Linked DNA regions of Mytilus edulis. The protein of the gene in region 1 purifies or fractionates together with the protein of each later gene. This does not show direct contact. Links are inferred from orthologs where the notes say so. Each region holds a gene or a part of one and is shown on either strand. Other genes may lie near its edges. The genes, in order: chromatin target of PRMT1 protein-like and enhancer of rudimentary homolog.

Region 1 (12,642 bases):
TGCCATCTTTGCCCGGATGTTTGACACACTGGCTTGCTGGGCTGGTTGCCTCACAGTGGCTTGAATCGTGGAAAATCTTTGGTTGGACGAAGGAAAGAAATGTTATTTATAGTTATGCTGCCATTTTTTGTACATACATGTATGTCATTGTGGCTGGTTTTTGTCATGCAACTTCTGAATGAAGGAAATATTTGAAGATTTCAAAGTTTTAAAGCAGAAACTTAAATCGACACAAGAAAAAACTCCGACAGTAATGCACACAAGAAAACAAACTGACAAAAAGAAAAGATATTCAACTGCAATGGTCATGATGGTCAAAGAAATACAAACAACTCAATACAAACTATAGGATTCAGGGGCGGATCCAGCTATTTAAAAAAGGGGGGGGTTCCCAACTCAGAGTAAAGGGGGGGTTCCAACTATATGCTCCCATTCAAATGCATTGATCGTCCAAAAAAAAGGGGGGGGTTCCAACCCCGGAACCCCCCCCCCTTGGATCCGCCTATAGGATTACTCTAGGCATTATAAGGGACAAAATGTTATCTAAAAGGGTAAGCAGTTCATGTCATAGATATAGCTATAGATCACTCATGGTGCAAAGAGGCAGGCAAATCTCTTTCAATAACTTTTTCAAAGAGCTGGAAGACTTGTTAATTTTAGGATAAATAAAACAATTAATGTGAGACTAAGAGACACAAAAAGAGACACTTTTGAGAACTTCTACATACTGACACCATACAGAAACTGGATTATGAGGCATTAGAATTTTTGTAACATTGTCATGACTATAAAACTATCATCAATATTAATATCATAAAACATTGTACACTAGTTTCCTGTTTTTCCTCTAATACAATGTATGTTACTAACTGTGTCAGAAATTATTCCTCTAATATGTTACAAACTGTGTCAGAAATTATTCCTCTAATATATTACTGTCAGAAATTATTCCTCTAGTATGTTACTAACTGTGTCAGAAATTATTCCTCTAATATGTTACAAACTGTGTCAGAAATTATTCCTCTAATATATTACTGTCAGAAATTATTCCTCTAATATGTTACTAACTGTGTCAGAAATTATTCCTCTAATATGTTACTATCTGTGTCAGAAATTATTCCTCTAATATGTTACTATGTCAGAAATTATTCCTCTAATATATTACTAACTGTGTCAGAAATTATTCCTCTAATATGTTACTAACTGTGTCAGAAATTATTCCTCTAATATGTTACTAACTGTGTCAGAAATTATTCTTCTAATATGTTACTGTGTCAGAAATTATAACTTTAAACCAAAAAAAGTTAACAATAATAGGTCAAAGTACAGCTTGTCTTGGCCTGGAGTTGTACCATACACAATTCTAAAATGTTTGAAAACAGCAATAATGAAAAAGTAGGACAAAAGATCCACTAACATTGAAGTATGAAAATAAGAATACCTACACGAACTGAAATTGGAAACAACTTTGAACAATAATGATAAATCAAGAGAGCAGTTTTAAAGATATCTGATGGCATGAGATCATCAGAAAATGTCTTGTGAAACAAAACATGTCACCAGGCAAAATTTTGTGACATAAAACTCTTTACAAAGTATGAGCATCAGACAGAAAGATCATCACCAGAAACTTTGGTTAAAATGTGACTTGCTCATAAAAAAAATTTGTGAGAGACTCACTTTTGATTATAATGCTAGAGACTGTCTCACCCGAAATGATCTTGAGATACAAATCGCTAGATATCATTTCAACATTTAACGAGATGCCGAACTGATCTTGAGATAGAAAAGTGAATAATAAAAGATAGAACATCAAATTAGACAGAACATGAACTTCACATGTATAAATTTGACATAAAATCTGCAGATATCATGTGAAAGGTCATGTGATAGTAGAAATCATGTGAAAGAGGTCACGTGACAACAGAATGATGTGACAGAAAACAGGAACTAAAATGTCACCACTAGAGAAGTTATTGGATAGAACTTACGACTTAGATGAAATAAAGTAGCCATGATTGATCCCATAGGTTTGAAAGAAAATCAATGTGACCATTGCATGAAAATAACTGAAGAAAAATATCAACGAAAAGAGTTATTTCCCCTTCAGAAGAAAAGTATTTTCATAAGACTGTTTAATAATTTTCAATTAATAATTCAAATTTAAATATTAAAATTAATTTCTCTTCGACTGTTTGACACCATACTACACTTTACACTTTGTCTAAAAATATAATTCAAAATTAATTGTCAAATTAAGGTAGCACAATACAAAGATTTTTCATCCCCAACCAGACATCTTTAAACTGATGTAATTCCACTCATCTTTCTTTAAATTTTATAAATGAGGTACCAAAAGAAAGAAGAAGGATTAATCTTCCAAATTGTGATAATTTCATTATGACATAATTATTACATAATTAATTGTTATGTAATTAGTTGCCATATTGTGATGTCCATACTTGAATGAATTTAACTTCTTTGTTATTCATAGCATCCCAAAATATTTTATAGATTCTTGAACAACACAGTTTGACCTCCAAAACTGTGTCTCAGATTTTTCCTATTGTATTTCATTCTCTCATAAATCTACAATGAAATTTGCAACAATAATTCATAAGAGACCACTAAATTCAACTGGGTATAAAATTTGTTCTATTGATGTTTTTGGAAATCTGAGACACAGTTTTGGAGGTCAAGCTGTGTTGTAACAGAATCTGTTAAATAATTTGGGATGCTATGAAGAACAAAGACGCTAAATTCATTCAAGCGTGGACATCACAATATAGCAACTTATTACATAATAATTAATTATGTAATAATTATGTCATAATGAAATTATCACCATTTGAAAGATGAATCTTTCTTCTTTCTTTTGGTACCTCATTTATAATATATAAAGAAGGATTAAATGAATTACATCAGTTTAAAGTTATCCGATTGGGAGTGAACAAATCTTTGTATTGTGCTACCTTAATTAAACATAAGAAAAACAAATTCAAACTGAATTTCAGGAAAAGTCATTTGATTATTGCTTTCGACTATACTTTATATATATGAGTTTAAAATAGGAAATCGGATTTTTCTAACCATTATTACTTTAATATACGACATTAACTTTTAGCAAAAAAACATGCAAGAAAATATCTAAAGTGAAGCTTTTTCAAATCTAGAAAATCTAGTCTTGTACATTCATGCATAGAAAAGTTCAATATAGTAACTGGATTTTTGTTATTTTGCTATCCACATGATCCAATGGCACTGCTCGGTGCTTGTGGTTTACTATTGCTTTTCTCAAGACTTTTTGCCATGTATTGCAACTCTGTCTGTTTTGCCACTTGTCAAATTTCTGCCACTTGTCAAATTTCTGCCACTTGTCAAATTTCAGCCTCTTTGACACTAGTTGTTGTCCTTTTTCACCTGTGGCCAACAGGATATAACTAGTTACTTTAACCATACATGTAAAACATGTGTATTGTTAGACTAGCATGCAAGCATGCAATCTGATTCATTTAACATATTAAGTGGCAAAATCAGGTTTTGAGCCCAATTGCACATTTGTGCAGTGGCATTTTTTCATTTTGGCTTGCATAGCTTTTTGTTGTCATTCTCTTTTGCACTAGCCTTGAAAGAAGGCATCTAGCCACAGAGAAGACTTCTGGTCAATAGAAATGACCTTTGGTCAATAGAAATGACCTTTGGTCATTAGAGAAATGACTGATAGAGAGAAAAAATTCTCTCTAAATTTCTTTCCTTCCAACTTTTCCAGGCAATCTCTGCCAGGAACATGCTCCTCCTCCTTCTCACCTATCATTCAAAGACATCTTAGTGGTACTCTTCAGAACAATCTTAGCTGGAACCGCCATCTTTCTTTAATTATCTGAATAAACTGTTAAGGAAATTAGAAATGACTAGAAGTAAAACATATTTAATTCATACTTGTTTCAGGCAAAAATACAAAAAAATTATGTGTTTGTATATTTGACGCTAGTCGTAGACCTGCCATACATGTTTTTTTTTCATTCTGGTTCTTAAATGAATAGATTGATGCCCAATTTATATAATTCCAAGGCCGTCAGTTGGCATCAGAAGCGACGAAGCAGCGCATCTATTTTGGGTGGGCAAATACCCACTTTTTGATATGGGACGAGCTCTGACGTTGCACGGCCCAAGCTTGTCTGGCAAAACAGCCGTTGGACGTCAGAGTAATCTCGGACTAAAAATTTGTGAACAAAACACTAATTTGACTAAAACCAGTATTTAGATTGGTTGATTTTTGAGTCCAAGTTCTAGAAAGTTTTATGACAGCATAGGCTAGGCTTTTCTTTCATAACACTACTCAGTTTTTTGCCTTGGGAATATAAAATGTGTGCTGGAAACCCCAAATCCATTACTGTTTATTATTCAATCAATCTATGTATCTATTTCTGGAATCCGGGTCCGTTCGCCCTGATACCTGTTCGCCCAGGGTCCATTCGCCCAGATTTTTATTTTTTTCTATTTGTTGTCCAGTCGCATAATTTTAAGTATTTGAACAAAATATGTTAAAGTTTGTTAACAAATTGACAGAATATTTATATTGCCGCAATCATTTTATCATTTTCTCTTTGATTTACAGAGTAGAATTGGTATACATGATGTATTTCTCTTTATTGATATTTGTTAACAAAATAATTGTATTCAGTCAATCATGAATGTATGCAGTATAACTGAGACTAGGACTGTCTCCGAGTATAATAATGAACTTGTAAATCCGTTTCATGATTTACAGTTAGTACATCATTGTGTTTATTAATTTCAAGCTGAATATTTTATCAAAACAAAACGTTTGATTTTTATTAATAATCCATCAAAAGACAAGTATCACAATAATCAGTGATCCGAATTATTTTGTCATTGAACAATTAATGATCCTATACAAGCCATAAACTTTTAAATATTTCCCTGTTTCCATAAATTTCAAGAATATATACCATAGAAATATCTGAATAAGTTTTTTCAACTTCAATGCTCTGAATATCAATATTTTTTAGTAGGGCGAACGGACTCTCTGGGCGAACGAACCCAGGGCGAACGTACCCAGGGCGAACATGTTATTAGGGCGAACAATCCCGATACCCTATTTCTGCACGATAAATGTTTTATTGCCAATGTATCTCTTATGGGTTGATCAACTTCAAACAATTGGGAGTAGTTATAACCCTTTGTGGAGAAAAGGGAGACCGTTTAAAGCCCTATCGTAATTCGATAGGGTTGACAACTTGCACCGACAACTTTTGCCATCGGAGTCGGCTTATTTGATTTTCTTAGTCATGATCAACTTTGTAATCTGTAAAACATGAACCAAAATATGAATTTGTAGATAAGGATACATAATTTTTTGTTAAAATCTGCTAAAGTTTCGAATTGACTTCGATGAATTTGGATGATGATTCTGAATCTGCAAAACATAAAACGTCAACAACCCGATACCGGAAGTTCATAAAATATTAGAACTATTCGGCTCTAAATAATGATAAAAAAAATGTGAAATTGTTTTATTAGACTATTTATGTTCTTACTAAAATATGTTTTTTTAAACAGGAAAATGAAATATAAAATTTTAAAACTCAAAATTTTGGTAAACTGTGATACCGAAGAGAATAGACGAATCAACAAAATACCATAGGGGTGTTTTTAAATGTTCTCATTAGAATTGTTTGAATTTTTCAAAAACTAATAATTTCTGAGATAGATAATAACATTTAAATTTGTATTCGTCAAAATATCAATAAATTGTGTTATTTTGATTCGATTTAATCGCAAAAAATATATCAAAATATTGTGTCACACCAATCTAACTTACCCATAGCAACGGTTGTTTCTAGGCTCAACAACATTCAGTGTGCAGCTCTTGAAGAACTTTGAACATTCCAACAAAATGGTAAGAGTTTTGAAGAAGTCCGAGCAATAATTGAATAAATTTGACATTAGAAATATAGACTTACATCGTATCCTTTACATTTCAAATTGCTGGCACTTTCAAATTCATTATTTACTACCAAAGATAAAGTCAAAGTTGAAAGAATGCCACTCAAAAAGGGTCCATATACCATTATACTTTAGAGTTTTAGGCCAATAAGTGAAGGTTCATTCATGGTTATGGTTAGGTTATGGGATATTTTAGCTCCGGGTTAGGTTTATGGTTAGAGCTATGTGTACTATCCACAATAATATCCAGTTTAAAAATCATGACTTATTCAAACTGAGGTAGACAATGCATACATTATAAAAGTGCAAGGTCCAACGTTGCCTAACGATGATTTTATTCTTTTGTTGCATATTTGGCAACACATGTACAGTTTGTCAGACCTGTCATGAATAAAATTCAACTTATCACTTTTTGTTCGCCATTACAGGACACTGAATTTACTTTGTCTTTGTCATGTTTGTGCTGTCCAATATTTTCCTATGAAATTTTATGTGAACATCTGTGACCATGTCGTTGTTACTGTATATTGTGTGTAGTGTCTAAATTTTGTACAATGGCATGAAGTAAAAAAATAAACGTCTTGCTAGTTTGATAATGTACATGATGTATTGAAATCTAAATGACGTACAACAACTATACTGACGTTACAATTGAGCGGCGCACTAGCCTTTACTGTACATATAGTAAGCAGACTTCACAACACTGAATGACAAGAATAGTTCTACTGTTGGGGATCACAAATAAAGATACAATTCTGGTCTATTACAAATGTTTGCTCAGTCAAGTTTCCGTTAGAATTAGCTATGCGAAGGATTTATAAATGTTCAATATACATGCATATGCTATAATCGTGTTGCAAGGCACATTTTTATCATTCCTTTGCTGTATAAATGGTTTGAATTGTTATGATTGGTATTCACACCAGTGCTGTATTTACACCTTTCAGTCAAAAAAGTTTATGTTTTATGGTTTGTGATCTAGATACATATGGCGCCATTAGTGTAAAAAAAAAAGAGGCAATCTGAATCATAAAGTTTGATTTATTTCATAGCGATGTTTTTTTTCTTTGAATTGAAATAATTAAAAAGTCCTGTTTCTAACAAAGAATGTTTTTAAGACATAATTGTAACCATATACATGTACATGTGCATTACAGATTTAAAAGTTTAACAGTGTAAATAAAGGCAACAGTAGTATACTGCTGTTCAAAACTCATAAATCCATGGACAAAAAACAAAATCGGGGTAACAAACTAAAACCGAGGGAAACACATTAAATATAAGAGGAGAACAACGACATAACACTAAAATGTAACACACATAGACAAAATCCCACGAGAATAACAAATATAACATATATACAGGGTTTAAGCTAGGATTTTGAGGGCTTTAGTCACTTTTGCGCGCTATTAAAATCAACCTTATTTTGTGTATAAGCAATAGAACAATGATGTATAGTACTAGCTTCATCTTTTGACTTAGTCAGATTTTAAGGGATTGAGGCACCAGCATGATTGGCAGTTATTGTATGATTTGACTGTATTGGCTATTATTATGAAAGATTCTGACATGGAATCACAATTTCTCTTCAGTTTATTCCAGGGGTCATTCCTGAACAACAAAAGTTGGATTCTATTTTTTTTAAACAAGGAATCACAGCAGAAATCAATTTGCAATGATTATTTCACTGCATAATCATTATCCTTATAAAACATCTTAGTCGATATTTGGATATCATTTCTATCAAGATGGAAATGTATTATATCCTTTTTGGAACGATTATAATGACTGAAAGGAGGTTGTAAACAAATCAACAATAGATCACGTTTACTACTTTCGGTTTTAAAATGAAACGAAAACGGGAAGTGACACGTGGATAATAAATTCAAAACGAGTCCGGATTCATCAGGAAATTATTATTTTTCGATTTAAATTCCTTTAGTAAGAGATATATATTTGTCTCTCTCGTTTAATTGATTCTAAATGATTTCGTATTTTACGTTTTTAATGTCTATATAGTCAAAAGGATACTTTCACGCATGCGTAGAACACAATACAGGAAGCACCTGTTTAAAACATTTCTCGTGAACTTTTTGAATAAACACATGAAAGTTCTTTATTTTAAATGGAAATTGTTGAAAGTTTTTGATGAAAATTTAAATCAAATATGACGAAAATGCCTTCGAATGACGAATCTACGATAAACTAACTTCAGATTGTGATCGTTTGGGAAATATTGAAATTCAAATGCGAACTGTCCGGCATTGTTACATTTTTGATTAAATGACGAAATTATACTCCTGGTTGTTGAAATGCCGACTGACTGATTTTCCTGGGGAAATAATTATGATGGTCATTCAATTATGGGGTTAATTAATAAATTACGGATAAGTGACCCATCTGAGCGGATTAGTTGTAATCACACCTGTTGAAAATGTTAATTACCTGGAGGTCATAAACTTGTCAAAAACATGAAGACAGGTAGATTTATAGTTTTTATTGCGAATTTTTTTTTACACTTTCAAAATTAAAGTGACGAAATTGATTTGAAATACTTTCGTCAATGAGAAAACCCTTTCGTAAAATACGAAAGTGACGAGCGCTAGCAAAATCACTGCATATATATATATAACATCAAAACCAAATACATGAATTTGGGATAGACAAGTACCGTGACACGTCTTATCGCAATGTGAATTTACACACAAAGATAAGAGAAAACAAACGACACAACGTTATAATGTAATACACACAGAAACGAACTATAATATAACAATGGCCATATTCCTGACTTGGTACAAGGCATTTTTAAAGGAAAAATTGCATCACTTTGAAACAGAATAGAACTTATACGATGCAATATTTTTTGTTTTCTAATGTAATATGAAAAATAAATTGAGCCTGAACTCCTTAGTCATGTTAGTGTAATGCTATGATAAATCTTCATATTTTTTTTTTATTAAAAATCAATTGTTCATATTTCAGACAACTGTTCGGAGACTGACTGCTTCTGAGAGGGAACGGCAGTTACAGAACTACCGTAGGCATGAAGAAGTACGGGAAGACACCATCCGTCAGTTGGGCACCCAGAAGTTGTTGGAGGCAAATATGAGTAATGAAGAAAAACTCTCAGAGAAACGTTACATCAGACGAATGATGATGGAGCAGAAAGAGAGAGATATGGAGGACACAATTCTCAAGGTTTGTGCTAAACTTAGTTGTAATACCTTTTCATAAGAATAACTTTCATTACATTTACATGTTTCCTACAAAAAAAACTACATTTGAAAACAATTATTTAGTAACCTGTTGAAAGGGTTTTGATCGCACGATCTTTTTAACTCACAGACATTATTCATAACAACAAAAAAAGTAATATAAAATTACTTTATGCACATACACAATGTATATTTTATTGAAATGTCAATGCAACTGGTAAAAGCTACTAAGTCTAAAATATAGGGCAGACCATGGCTAGTGGTAAAAATTAAACAAAGCACATACTACATTGGAACCACAGATTATTGAATGATATGAGCAAATCAGTCTGCGCAATCCTGAAAACATTCCACCGTTGATATAAATCAAGAGTTAATATTGCTTTAGGAACAGGGCAAAAAAAGCTGTATTGGCCCATGGGCTCATACAGGACGTTCACTTCCAGTTTCAATTTTTTTACACCTTTAATATGTATTGTTACAAAAAATGTATGAACAAAAACATGTTTAATTTATTTTATATTTTAAAGTTATAGAATAAAAAGTTTTTAAGTCTTGAAAAGGAAATATTTTGATTTACTGACATTGTTTCATATCCATTGATTAATCATCAGAACGCAAAATTGGTAACCAAGAAAATAAAGGAATATACTGTATTTTATTTACATACACATTTTAGGCACAGAGAGATAGATTGATCAGAGAAGAACAAATGTTACAAGAAGAAAGATTGGCTCAGGAAATGGAGAAACACAAATTAGAAGGAATGAGAGATGAAAAAATGAGACAACAAATTAGGGAAACAAGGTACAAATAATTTACAGTGACTTTATAAGCTGTCAATATTCTAGATGTTGACTAAATATTCTTTGGTTGATTATTATACCATTTGGTCAATTATTTTCATTCTCAATTTTAAAGTTTTCATTTTTAATTTCCTGTCTTTCTCTTTGCTCTATTTCTTATATATCAGAAAATTCTTACCTTGCTGAGGCCAAATAAAAATATATGTGTGGTTCCAGTAACCCGACCAACCCTAGTTAAAACCCCCCGACCCAAGAACTTTTTTTTTTCATTTCTGAAAAATAAATTTTCAAACGATCAAATTTTGAGGATTGTGAATTAAAATAATTAAATTCATAGATTTCTGTCATCTGAATTTCCATCACAAGTTTCTGTTGTGGCTAAAATGCAACAATTCATAACAGAATGCAACAAAATTAACTAAAAACGTATCATGACTGTTTATTTTACAACCAAACACATGTAAAAATGGTGGACTTCCGTTTGGGGCGTGTATAATACCGGAAACAATTTCGGTAAACACACAATTTTTTTCCGGATTTTGACATTCAAAAATAAAAATTAAAAAAAATTAAAAAAATTTGCCGACCTACTGACCCTATTTTTTAAAAGTATGTAACTGGAACCACACATATATTTTTATTTGGCCTGAGGATCTTGTCAAAATTTATCGTCACAGCAATGAGATGTCATCTATTCAAATTTATTTTCCATCATTTTAAAAAAGATTGTCACAGATACATGTATGACACACACAATAAAAATATGCAGATCTGTTAAGGTCTTTCAATTCACTGCAAATTTGAAAAAAAAACTGTTTTGTAAGAGTACCAGTTTCACTATTTTGTATGACATTTTTCAAGCTACTAGCTAAAGAGCACTACAAACTATATCTGAATACAAAAAAAAAGAAATTATTTAAGTATATTTTGTGCTATGGGAGATAATCATAATATCTGCATCTGCACTATGATGTAAATTGTAATTTAAAACCATGAATTTTATCATGTTATGATTTTTACACTGGTCATCTTTTTCTTACCTAAGAAAGGAGTAGGTCTGGTAAGGGCCGATTTTGGCCCCAAATTTCAGTTTCGTCTAACGAGATATTTAGGACACTTTTTAAACACTTAAATGTCTATTTTAATTGATTCGATTAGTTTATGCTAAATATTTTAACTGATTCAGTCATTAAAAACGCTCCGATTGAAGCTTAAATATGAAAAATCTATCAAATATGCCAAAAAACGTCACTTTTCAGATGGTTTTCGTCAAAAATGAAAGTGGCCGCATCCGTGTTCATCCTCAACCTTTATATATGTTATGTATTATCATCAAATACAACTTACATTTCAATATTATGAATGAACACGAATGCGGCCACTTTCATTTAAGACGGAAACCATCTAAAATTTAACTAAAATGCTATAATTATGAAGATTTCAGTAATTTAGCATGACTTTATGATGCTAGTACACGATATATGTGCATTGTATTGTCAAAAATAGCACATATTTATGTAGCAGAAGCATTCTACTTTCCAAAAAATAGCTAAAAGATTACATTTTCACAATTTTGCAAAACTGCTTAATTGTGGGGCCAAAAAGGGGTCTTACTGAACTCCTTTGCATTTCATGCTTTGTTCAATCAATTTTGATATATCTTTGTAGTCTTGAACTTCGAGAGCTGGAATCCAAACTTAAGGCAGCTTACATGAACAAAGAACGATCAGCACAAATCGCTGAGAAAGAAGCACTGAAATTTGATAAGATGGTAATTATTTATTTAATGATGCATGATATGTTTTTTTTGCAACCACTTTACACTTTTATATTCAAGAGTTTATAAGGACTTTTGAGTTTGACCAGGGCTTTCCTAGAAATACATAAAAATTGATAACTGGAATTTTCAAAATTACTACACAGTACAACAGACCACATCAATAATAGAACTTATCTATACTCCTCAGAAAGAAAGAAATATACAAACAAAAGGAAAACAACAAAACAACTACAAACAATTAGTGCTCCAACAGGCTCAATTTGTAAATTATCTCCCTTTAGTAACTTAAAGGTAATATGATATTCTCATCTGTTATTTGAACCAATCAGAAATTATTGAAATTGTCTCCCCATGATAATTTGAACAATTTCTCCTGCGCATATAATTATAAGAGGGTGGTAAAGAGGGGGTGCTTGCACGAAAAAAACGTGAAATAAGACATAATTTCACGTTGAACGTGAAATAATTTCTGTAATGAACGTTGCACGAAAAATAAATACTTTTATTTGAACCTTTTGTGACTGAGTTACTGTCTTGTATATATTAACTCTTTGTTTTACTTGATATTCCCTATTTAGTATACACATTTATGATATAATTGGTTTACGGCTTTTAAAAAGAATTTCTTGACAATCCCTGCCAAGTGTTTGAATTTTATTTGAAAAATACCGAGCACGCAAAATAAGACATTGAAAATCACAATGCACGTAAAATTAAATAAGCAGAACCCTTTGAACGAGGCACCCGTCTTGCACGACTGAACGTCAAATAAAAAAGTAAAACACGTTGAACGTGAAATAAAAAACGGTGATCACGTTGCACGAAAATAACCCTTTACCAAGAGTAACAACAAATGCTTTTCATTATT
Region 2 (12,070 bases), on another chromosome or scaffold:
CATACAGAAAGAGAAAAAGAAATTTGAGAAAATAGTGATAACACTGTTTTCACAAAATTCATATAGCATCTGGTTAACAGGTAATTTTGAAAAAAACATCTTGTTTCTAGAAATTTAAGCATTTTGTCCAAAACACATTTAATAAGCATATAATTTTAGAAAATTTAAAGTGTCACATCCCATCAATACAGCATCTGTTCCAATCAATATAGCATCATATACAAAGCTGCAAACCTCTTGCATACATTTTTGCTCTTAAATCATTTAATTTATATGCATTCTACTACTGCAAACTGCTACTATATTTTTTAATATGTGAAAAAGAGTGCAAAACACATACTAGGTTAGATCCCTCTCTTTTTAAGTGAACTGATTGTTTGAAGCATCGCTTACTTTTGGCACTAACATGACAGTTCTTTGGAGGATATTTTTTCAAATTTTTTGTGCACCCAATTCTAATCCTATTTACCATGTTTACCATCATTAGAGTATATTTTGCCATTCTATCTTGATCAGAAATAAGGTAAAAATAAAACATTTACAAAATCATCCAACTTGACAATAATTTAGTCCAATTTACAGCAACACACAATTACGCTCTTACTTGTCAGCTTTCAGTTTTATTCTAACCTATGACCTCTGTATGCATATGTAAGATTTGAACACTTACACTAAACAGCTAAGATCTGTAAGTTGGTCAATGAAATCAAACAGCTGACTGATATCATATGTAATGGATGGGCAATCTGGATTCTGTCTCTTTAGATGCTCTTCATAAATTTTACAGATTCCTGATAAAATAAAAAAAATTTAGACAATGTTTTCAGACTTGACATCAAGTATAATAAATCTGATTTGTGTAGGGTTCTAAGATATTCATTTTTTTCAAAACTTTTTTCAATATCGACCCATAAATCTAAATGAACAGTTACACTAGATTTGAAATAGAATGAGATACTATTCTTTGTTTCTTTTGCATCAAAATTACATGATTATTCTCCTCTTTAGCTCTTGCTTCTGTCAGAAATTAAGGGAAAATTTATTGAACTCATTGACAGTATTTTGTTTTCCTGAATCTTCTGGTTAGTGGTTAATAACATGTAGCTGCTACCTTTAAAAGACATCCCTGCATATGGAAGTTGTATTTTTATGGCCATTTAGCTTGAGATGTGGGCCACATAGTGTTTCCCTTTTTTATCAACATTTTGCAACAAACAGTTATACAGACTTTTTTCCTAATCCTCTTCACATATTGTCTGATTTTTAGTAGGCAATTAACATTTTTTAATATACATTTTTAACATGTATAACAAAATTTTATTTCTGAGATGTATCTTAAGCTTGCTCTCATTTATGTAATATTGATTTGTACATACATGTAATCTATTAGAAAAAACTCCCTACCTTCTAGACATTCATTCAATGATTCATAATCTGAGTATGTTCTTGTGTCTGGACGACTGTTTGGTTGTACCAATAAGATAGTGTGTGACTGGAAATATAAAAATTATTTCAAGTAAATTATATAATAAGGACAGTTCCATCGTAAACATACATGGTACTAATGTCACTAAACTTGAAACCCCTTCATTTTGATGTAGAGTATCCCACCGAAATTGGTCAAATACATAAAGTCATTTTGTGTTCTACCTGTTCAAGGTCTCACAATTTGACTGGGTACTCTATCAATGGTATGATCAGTGTTCAATAAGACTGATGGCTTGCATCGGCCAAGGTTCCTGTGGAGAAAACTGATGGTTCTGATGTTGTTTAAGCTTATTCCATTGAGACTAGGTTAGGTCTTGACAAATAGCAACTATAAGGTATTTTCCACATCAACATCTTCTAGTTAATGTCTGTGCAAGGTATAAGTTGTTTGCAGGGCTTAAGGTGTGATGCTTGTTAGAAATCCTTGCGACAGGGCACTTTCCTAGATAACTGTTAGGCAAAGCATTAAAACCTAACATTATGCCTGTGTCTATTATGAAGTGATAGATATAAAGATTTGGTTTTGAAGTTTAAAAGTAGAAAACTTATTTCAAACGGGACAGCACATCCTTGTTTTAATGGAAATGTTGTATACTGTGCCCAGAAGTTTAGAAACAATCCTGGTAAACTTATCACTCCTTTAAATAATTCTTAAAGGTTAACAATTCAACACCGTAATAAGATCATTGAATATTGTTTTTATTGGTATTAATATTGATTTCGTTAACAACAAATTAAAAGAAAACTAAATAATATTGTTATATTCATATACACATTCATGGATCAACAATCTGTCGATACCTGTATCTTAGCTTTGCACAAGGTCATGCTTTTCTCCGACTGTTAATGACTGTTTTACATTAAATCCATTGGATGTTGGATGCGTACTGATTGATAATTTAGTCTCAGATGCATGATTTTTTTATTAGTTGTTATTGGCTTTGAACTAGCTGTTTTTAACTGAGTATTCTCAGTTCAGTATTCATTGTCTTTTTAATGTTGGGATAAAAAAGTACCTGGCCACATCCACTTTGTGTCTTTGTTATATATATTTCTATTTGTATCTATCTAAATGTTCTCCTAATATAACAAGAAAACTTAAAAAATTAAGAATTAGTTCCCACCCTCTTTTGATTGAAAAGGGTAGATATTTCAGACCAAAAATTAAGAGAGAAAACAGAATATGCTTGAACTGCAATCAAATAGAGGATGAAAAACATTTCCTTTATATTTATTGCAAAAAATTTGAAAATTATAGAAAACAACTATTTATTTAATAAACTAAATTTTAATTCACAAGATCTGTGCCCTGAAAAAGTTATGAAAACCATTATTAGTTTACTTAGCCAACAAAATATTGATGATACAAAAAATATATGCCATTACATACAATTATGCTTTGAATCTTTGTAATTTTATTCATTTAACCTTGATTTGATATTTTGTCATACATTATATATATTTATTTGTGATGTAATATCATGTTAATGTGGGGGAAGACATCATTATACTTGTATTGATTTTCCTGATTTAATAAAAACTTGAAACTTGATGAGTTAAGCCTTTTTCAACTGATTTTTACAGTTCTTTCTTGTGTTGTACTGTTACACCACTGTCCCAAGTTAGGGGAGGGTTGGGATCCCGCTAACATATTTAACCACCCACTTTCTGCAGACATGGGGTAATTGAAATATGTAATTGTAATTGACTGTAATTAATTACAATTTATCATGTAATTGAATGTAATGTGTAATTGAGCATTTTTTCAATTACATGTAATTGAATGTAATTAATTACATAGCCAAAATTGCCTGTAATTGACAATTACTTTTCAATTACAAGTCAATTACATTTGAAATTTTGGATCAAAAGATTAAATCTTGTGTTTTCTCAAAAAATTATTAAAAGCAATAATCTTAACAAATGTTGTAAGCTGACAAAGAAAAGCCTTCACAGTATACTTTCTGTATTAACACAACCATGGTAGATTCTTCATTTTGTATTGAATGATAAAAAAAATGTAGACACATGCCATAATTTTAAAAGAAACCACTAGGAAGTCACTGTCTTGACCTTAATTAGTAGATTTAGATAGATATTTTAAGACATTGATTTAACATAATTAACTTTATTCAAGGACTTAAATAACCAATAAATATAACCTCTGGCTATTTGTTTTATTACAAACTATATAATGACTGTTTTTATAACAGTTATGTTAAACAGATATAAGGCTAATTAGAGAGAGATAAATATACCCCTAGGGCCTATAGGGCCAAAATAAAAAGATTGTATGTTTGCCCAAACGCGACCGACCCAAAATAAACCCGCCGACTCAAATTCTTTTTTTGACGTTTTTTAGAAGAATTTTTTTTTTTGCGGATTTTTTTCATGTTCGCTCCGTCATCGTATAAAACTTAAAGTTTGTCGTTTTTGCGTTTGAAAGTAATTGTGAATACGATTAAAAGAAAGCGCATAAGAGATGCAGTTAATCGATATTCGATGTTCTCAGTTTTATCTTCTGACTTATATGTAACAAACGTAAAGAAGTGAAACATGTGAAGTGGCACATTTTTTACGCTGTAGTTGTCTGTACTACCAAACCCTTACCTATATGTTCAATGTTAATTTCGTCGTGTACTCGAATATCTGATAAGAATATTCAGATAGATTTGTTCAAAACCGGGGTAATCGAATATTTTCAATGTTATCCTGACAGGAAATGGATCCGGAAGTTGCGAATTTACAATCTTGCAAGAAGATTTTGTTTTTTCTGAATAAAACGGAATTATTTCTTGATAAATTGTTGTCTTTAATTATAATCTTCCTTTATCATGTGAATTAGATGTCTTTTTATTCAAATAGTTCAAATTTACAAGTCTCAGTTGACAAGATCAGTACGTTGCTGTTTGGGAGAGTTTGATAAAACTATAATATAATAATCAGAAATATAATCTTAACTGAATGTAACTCCTTCTGAATAATTTAGTGCAGTATAAATATAAATCCACTTTGACAAAGAGAAATCTGGCTTTTGTCAGAAATATTTTTTTTCACATGTGCAAAAGTAAACACATGTTATGGTATCATTTTTATACAAAATTGTGAGGAAGCCTCTGGAACCTGATGACCTAAAAATAAAATAGTCTTCAGAAAACGTTAACTTTATGCAATTATATTTTATACTAATAAATGTAAAATTTCAATAGGTAAATTAAAACAATTTAATATTTTCAAGATATTAAATAAGGCCTTTTGTAATTTTCAGAGAAAACACAGAGATTTGTACATTCTGCATTCTGAGAATAAAGAAATTCAACCAACATTGACACAATGCATAAAAAAAAGTGTAAAATATTCACCGTCTGATCCAAAACAGTTAGAAATGACAAATGCTCTTATCATGTTCATAGCTGGGGATCTTTTACCACTCTCTATTGTCGAAAGTGAAGAATTTAAAAACTTGATGGAAAAAGCTGACACTAAGTATCAAGTGCCTAGCAGAAAGCATTTATCTTCGAAACTTCTACATGAAAAATCGGTTGAAATAAAAAATAACCTTGTAAATACTCTTAAAAGAGCTGAAAGTGTGTGCTTAACCATTGATCTCTGGTCTAGTAGACAAATGAGAGGATTTTTGGGAATCAAATGTAATTGAAGTAATTAATTACATCTGCCAAGTAATTGGAATGTAATTAATTACATTGGTAAAAAAAGTCAAATGTAATGTGTAATTTAATTGAAGATTTTGTAATTGTAATTGAATGTAATTAATTACTTTCAAATGTAATTGACCCCATGTCTGACTTTCTGTATGTTGTGCTTGTCTCAAGTCAGGAGCCTGTAATTCAGTGGTTGTCGTTGGTTGATATGTTAACATAGCGAAGGTGTTTTTAAGTATACTAATAAGATAAATAATTGCCTGCTGTAAATATATCCCTTTACCACCTTTTCTTTTATATTAATGTTTAATATAAATATAAGGTTTATATTTTATTACATTGTGACACTGGCCGAGGAATTTACGAAGCAATGAAAGAAAGATTTGTTACATATTTGTTTTTCTTTCAGTTTTAGTACATACATGTAAATAAGGCCGTTCGTTTTCTCGTTTTATTAATAATTGTTATACATTTGTTACTTTGGGGCCTTTCATAGCTGACTATGCAGTTTGGGCTTTGCTCATTATTGAAGGCCAGTGACCTATTGATGTTAATTTCTGTCATTTGGTCTCTTGTTGAGAGTTGTATCATTGGCAATCATACCACGTAAGTGAGTAAAAGTAAGTAAATTTTATTTAAAGTCGGGCTACATCTTCTTTTGTATATTATATCGTGTCTGTCAACTATCAATGAAAAATTAATCTCTTTTATAAAATAAGATGTTTGGAGCACTGTAAAAATGGGCCACCCTACCACTTTTATACCCAAGTGTCTGTACCAAAACAAAATTCAAGACTTCACAAGTCAACAGAGTTGTACTCTGGTGCCAAACACTTTCGTTATCACAAAGTAAGTTAAATTTGTAATATTATATCGATGTTGGACTTCAGCAACGTCGGGAAATTGTTTTAGCATTTTTTCTTTAATGCAAAATTACCATTTTGAATGATTATTGGACTTCCACACGCTTCTTTCAGCATCCAAGATGGCGCGGTTAATAAATCGGAATCTCTTTTGACTTTTCATAACAAAATCTGAAGTCACTGGAACGTTTATTGAAACGGAATAAACGTTCATTCTTCAGCAGTATAACTCGAGTTCGATTTCAATATCTGACACGACTTTCCGATTTGTTGTTATGATCTAACCAAAGAAAACGTCAAGAAATGGATGAAATATGGACACTGCTTTTACTTTGTCTTGCTATGTTAATTGGTTGTTACATGTCAGGACTGATACCACTTGCAATCACATTTTCAGAGGTTACTTTCCACATATTGACTTTTTTTTATACTAGTTTTTTTTTCAGGGAACAGCTGACAGATAATCTTAGGAGCCAAGTGAAATTTTATGAAAAAAAGACGTTTTTCTAAGCAACAGGATTTTATGATATCCCACTTTAAATAAATCACTACAAAAATGAAGTGTGTCATAACAACTGCGTGGTGACTGGTTGGGACAGTAAAAGCCATCAATCACATCCTATTAAGGCTATTTAGTAAAAAAAAACCTTCTTCATACGAATACAGGTCCGTTGGCCCAAAAGCATGTTCGAGCCCTTTCTCTTTCAACCCTTTTCACTTTCGCACCCAAAAAACGATCGCACCCTTTTTATTTGGTTTTGTCAAGGATTTGTATAGTACATTGTACATAAGACTTTTTGTGTTTAATGATTTGTAATGGAGTTTAAAATAAATTTTAATCATGTTTTAGTTAGTGAACAAATGTAAATATATTGCCTTAATTAAATGAAGTAAGATTCTGACTTTTTATTTTTTGTTAAATAAATCATTGTTTATTCTTAATCATGTTTTGGTTAGTGTATTGCTATAGTATAAATATTTTTTTTCATTGTTTCAAGATAAATTGACATTCAACATTATGTTTTTGGGTTGAAGAAATTTTAATCACACTTTGGTTATTGCATACCAAGCTAAGTACATTACATCAAAGTAAGTTATTAAAATCAACAATCATGATTTTCAAACACAAAATAATAAAACCCAATTTAGCTGTGTATAAATACCAATTAGCAGTAATCATTAATAATTAAAGGGAAATTCCGCGATTTTTTACTTATCATCTAATTATGTTCATCTTAACATAAAAAACACATTTGCAAAGTTTTAAATTTATATTCCTTCTAATAACGGAGAAAATCAAGTATTTGTAACTTTTTTGGTTGAATTCTCGAGTGGGTCGTGACGTATTAGCCCGATTTATTGAATTCTGGGAAAAAATAAAATCTGTTTAACTCTTATAGCTTATCGACAATATACGTAATTAAAAGCGCACAGCTGACGAATGGTCGAAGTTATAAACCACAATATAAGAATGAACGAAAGTGAATATGCATATATATACCGTTTTGTATTGATTGAATTAAACTCCTATAAAATTATCTCTAGTAAATGTTTTTGAATAAATTTAATTAATTATTGTTGAGATTTTTTTCATAAAATATTTATTGAACATTTTTACTGATATTGAACTGAAAATATTTCAGTTCTATTTACCGTTATTGTTTTGATAATCATTTCAATGCAACTAATGTGTGAGCAGAGTGTGTATATTATTTTGTAAAGGTCACTGTATATTTCTCGGCTTGAGGTCAATTCGTTTACCTTGTAGCTATTTAGCCGCAGGTGTGAGTTCAAGCGTACACAGGTATAAATGTTGTTATTTGGAAAGGATAAATAGAAAGGATTAGAGTATATGCTGTCATGATGTTAATACACTAAGATTAAATACACGATGAGAATAAAGATACAATAATTAAATTGTGTAAATTAATTGAAAATAAAATTCAGATTCGTAATTCCGAAAGTGTATAAAAATAAAAGGAAACAATTTTTGATTACTTTCTTAGCGGCAATTGGCGTAAAGATTCAAATATGAAGCAAAAAATAGTAGTTTTAATCTTTAATAAAAACTAAATGCAATATTACCCAATTTGATATACCATTGTACATCTGTTTGATATCATTGACTTTACCGGAATTTCTTAACTTGTATTCAAATCTGGCTGTGTTTAAATGCTAATAAAACTATTGCAATTTTAAAGTTTTTAATTGACAAAAAAATACAACATACAACATGCATAATTTTTTTTTAGTTTCTTTTTAACATTTTATTCTTACATAATTAACAATCATTTACACGAACTTTTTGTGAAAAGAATACTAATTATCTAAGCTAAGGCATTATATCTTTTGAGGATTTTTGAGGATTTTTTTTAAAATTCTATGATAATAGTTGTGCAATGTTGAACATGATAGCCGTCATTAATCCAAATAAGTAATACAGTAGTTGTAATAAAAGTTATACTTTAGTCATGCATTACAGATATTGACGAATTTATAATAGTTCGTTCATACATCGTTGTTCATGAAACAATCATTATTAGTATACATGTAAGTTTCCTGACGTATAAGAGCCATTGAGGATGAGCTCCAGAGAAATCAGACTAGTTGCGTTTCGTTCGTTTGTTTGTTGGGAAAGGAGAGGAAATGCAACCGCTTGTACAGATAAACGACAGAATTACCATACAAGCATTTATAGTCAACACAATCAGAAAGAGTTCCCATCGTTAGACGGGGAATATGAAGGCTTCCAAGAATGAACAAGTGACATGTCTAACTCTGAACAGTTAGAGAACAGACTATCGACATCGAACGCTTGTTCTTGATATTTGAAACTGTATGCATATATATACGTATACGTTTATGATATAGTGATGAGTTCTGACAAAAACTAAATTCCTTCATGGTTATATCTTGCCATACGTTTATATTGGTTTGTAAGGTGATTACTCAAAATCGTTATTTGAAAATCCTGTTTGTGAGATGTAGATTCATTTCAATACAGAAATTTCGTCTATATATTTCACAAGTGTATAACACGGAGAAGCTCTGAAGGTTCATTACTCCCATTTTGTTTGGGTGTGAACCATCGATGTTTACAGCAATATCAAGGAATAAGGTGATGATGGTAGAAAGAACTATGGGCGTCATGTGGCAAATATTACATGCATATCGGACAATGAGTTGTCAATCTGTATGAAAAGTTTTCCAATACAACCATATTATTGAGAAGGAATGTTTACATGCTATACTCTCGTACTAGTATTACAGGGTTCTTGTGGCGTTCACCTTAGACACACATCGTTTTAACGATGTTTAAAAAAAGACAGAACCAATTTAATGTCATATTTCCCTATTTTTTAAATATAACTAAAATTCTTTTATCTGACAAGAATATCCCTATTTAGCGAACAAGTAATTTATTCTTTTTTCGGTTATTGAATACCAAGAAAGAAAATAAATCCCGAAATTAATTTGAAACTTTGATACTCAAAAGTTTCCCAGCAAAATATTCACATCCCCTGGGGATAATTAGTGTTCGTCCAGTGGCATATATAACAATTGTGATGACGAATTCCTTCCTTTGTTTGAGAACAATCTTATTGAAATATAAATCTGTGATTTTCCTAGGTCCACAGCTTCAATGAACCAAAGCAAAAGTTATACATCGACCTGTATTTAAATCAAATTGGTTCTCTTCTTCTTTTGGTATACAACTGTAGTCTATCGACATTCGATGATTACATACTGTTGGCATACGTTGGCTAGTCTATTTACAACACTTTTACCCCTATTTATTCAAAATATATGTTTTTTTCTTATGTTCAATGTATACACGTATATATTTTAAATTGCGCTATAGTTCCGTAACTTTATATCCAGTCGTATAAACGAATCGTCGGCAAGTGCGTACATTTTTTTAAATCAATATTTCTGGTCTGTTCCAATCTGTCCTTCACTATTGACAATGACTATATATTACATTTTCCCAAATTCACCCTTGGAAAAAATATTTAAATAGATTTTAATTTCATCAAATCTTATTTTTTGGGTATTATTTATATATTATGAATTATATTCTTTACACCAGAAATGTTATTTATAAACAAGCGTATGAGTTTAGTAATGACAAGTAAGACAGAGTTGTATATTATACATCTGATAGTTCAAAATGGAAAGTTATAAGTTATCAGCCGTGTACACTGATCAATACCTGCAGAAGTGAAACGATGCATGAACTTGCAAGCCCGACAGGAAATCGCTTGAATACCTGGACGTGTCACCTCACACCCCTCACAATACCTTTGGAAGTAATACCTTTAGCCATGCTGGTGATCAGATAAGGGAAGATCAAAATATATTTGAAAAAAGTTTATTACTTTAAAGAATTATGAACACTTATTTATGATTTCAACTTTGACTTTTCACCTAATTCCAATATCAACAGTTTAAAAACAACAGACCATGGTAATTTAAAAAAAGTAAGAATATTTTCCGTATCAAGTTAGTTAGTCGTATTAAACAACCGTACGATTGACAAGATATCGACACGCAATTACGACTACATCGGTTACTGTAGTTTTGTTTCTTTGTGGTTTATAGACATATCGTTTTTATTCATCGGGAAACAAGACAAGATGGCGGATACTCTAAATTTAAAATCGATGGTGATCGCTTATCTAGCGGAATAAAACTTTAATATCTATGAATTTGAACATTTTTATACAGAATGAACATAATATCAATTTTTGATTTTTTTGCGAAGTTTCCCTTTAACATTAAATAAGTATTCATCAAATTAATGAAAAAGAAAACATATACATGTAATAATTCCTCAAGTTTTATTCAGGAAAATATAATTTATTTCATAAAAACATGTACATATAAAAAGATGTCGAATAATTCAACTGGAATTTGAATAAGAATTGGGTGAGAGCGTGTAGGGTTGAACAAGGTACATGTAGGATGCGACAGTGTATTGGGCTTGAACCTACCTGTAGAAACCTTTTCTTACAGAGCGTCTTTTTACCACAGAATACCACAGAAGTTGAACACTCAAAATATACCACAACAGAACTACAAAAATCACAACAGAACTACAAAAATCACAATAAAATTACTGAAATATACCACAGAACATTAAAATTACTAATTTTATAAAATGCAAATCTAATGATTCAGAATCATATTATTTCTTTGATTCCAGTTGTACACCAATGACATGACGATAAACTGGATAGGATAAAAATGATCATAGCTTTTTAGTTTTTTGGCACATTTTTTATATTTGGAAATTTGAGACACTTAACTAATGCATTGTAATAATAAAAATCTGAAATAAACATTTATCAAAATAGTTTTGAGCTTAAAAAATTTACCTCATGGTTTTTCACATTCGGGGATCAATATACGCTTTGAATACGGTATATTGAAGCTGTACTTTGTCCCCACTTGAATTATTTTTTGAATTTAAGTAAATTTTTTACTTAGTCCAAATAATTGTGACGTCTTGAAAGGTTATTTATTTTTTTACTTTGACGTCAAAGCCAAAAAGAAAATCAAAAAAATTTAAGATGTCATAATGATTTGGACTACTTTTAACTTAGAGGTAAGAATCAGTTGAAAAAGAAACGGAAATACTGAAGTGTTTCCTATGTTGGTCCTGTTGTCAGGGATTTTAGTAATGACATCATTTTCATTGTAAACACTATCATTCATCATCAGGTAACAAAAAAAAATGTTTTTCATATCAATGATTAACTTTAATAAAATTGTTACTGTGCTCTTTCTTATATTATCTACAAAAAATGTAGGCTGATAGATATATTATATTTTACTCAAAGTCATTTGACAAATGAGACATGAAGAAAGAAAAAGAGATTTCTGCGCAAATGCAGGAAATATAAATATTAGAAAATAGAAATATTAATAATTTTGAGATCATATTAAAAGTGTAATGTATCAAGTCTGACCATTCAATGTGTTCATCTCATTATTTTCTGTTCCAGAGATCAATTTTAAATTTGACATATTTATTAACATTTTGACATCAACCAT

What was found.
Region 2: the proteins of chromatin target of PRMT1 protein-like (region 1) and enhancer of rudimentary homolog purify together in Homo sapiens (affinity purification with mass spectrometry; 3 studies listed by BioGRID and IntAct, with this or other methods). This does not show direct contact. The link is inferred for Mytilus edulis from reciprocal best matches to the Homo sapiens genes CHTOP and ERH.

What each region holds. Positions count from the first base shown.
Region 1 is NC_092354.1:21,883,420-21,896,061, reverse strand, and holds the start of chromatin target of PRMT1 protein-like, read right to left. Parts: upstream 5,512-12,642; 5' UTR 5,373-5,511; intron 3,881-5,372; 5' UTR 3,867-3,880; coding exon 3,808-3,866; intron 891-3,807; exon of another isoform or gene 503-890; intron 344-502; exon of another isoform or gene 77-343; coding exon 1-76. Other genes in the region: meiosis-specific nuclear structural protein 1-like, read left to right, coding at 5,921-5,923, 8,956-9,171, 9,868-9,995, 11,663-11,765. UniProt on the Homo sapiens protein: Plays an important role in the ligand-dependent activation of estrogen receptor target genes. May play a role in the silencing of fetal globin genes.
Region 2 is NC_092346.1:72,438,482-72,450,551, forward strand, and holds the start of enhancer of rudimentary homolog, read right to left. Parts: upstream 6,196-12,070; 5' UTR 6,091-6,195; coding exon 6,088-6,090; intron 1,493-6,087; coding exon 1,405-1,492; intron 792-1,404; coding exon 671-791; intron 1-670. Other genes in the region: zinc transporter ZIP9-like, read left to right, coding at 6,317-6,412. UniProt on the Homo sapiens protein: May have a role in the cell cycle.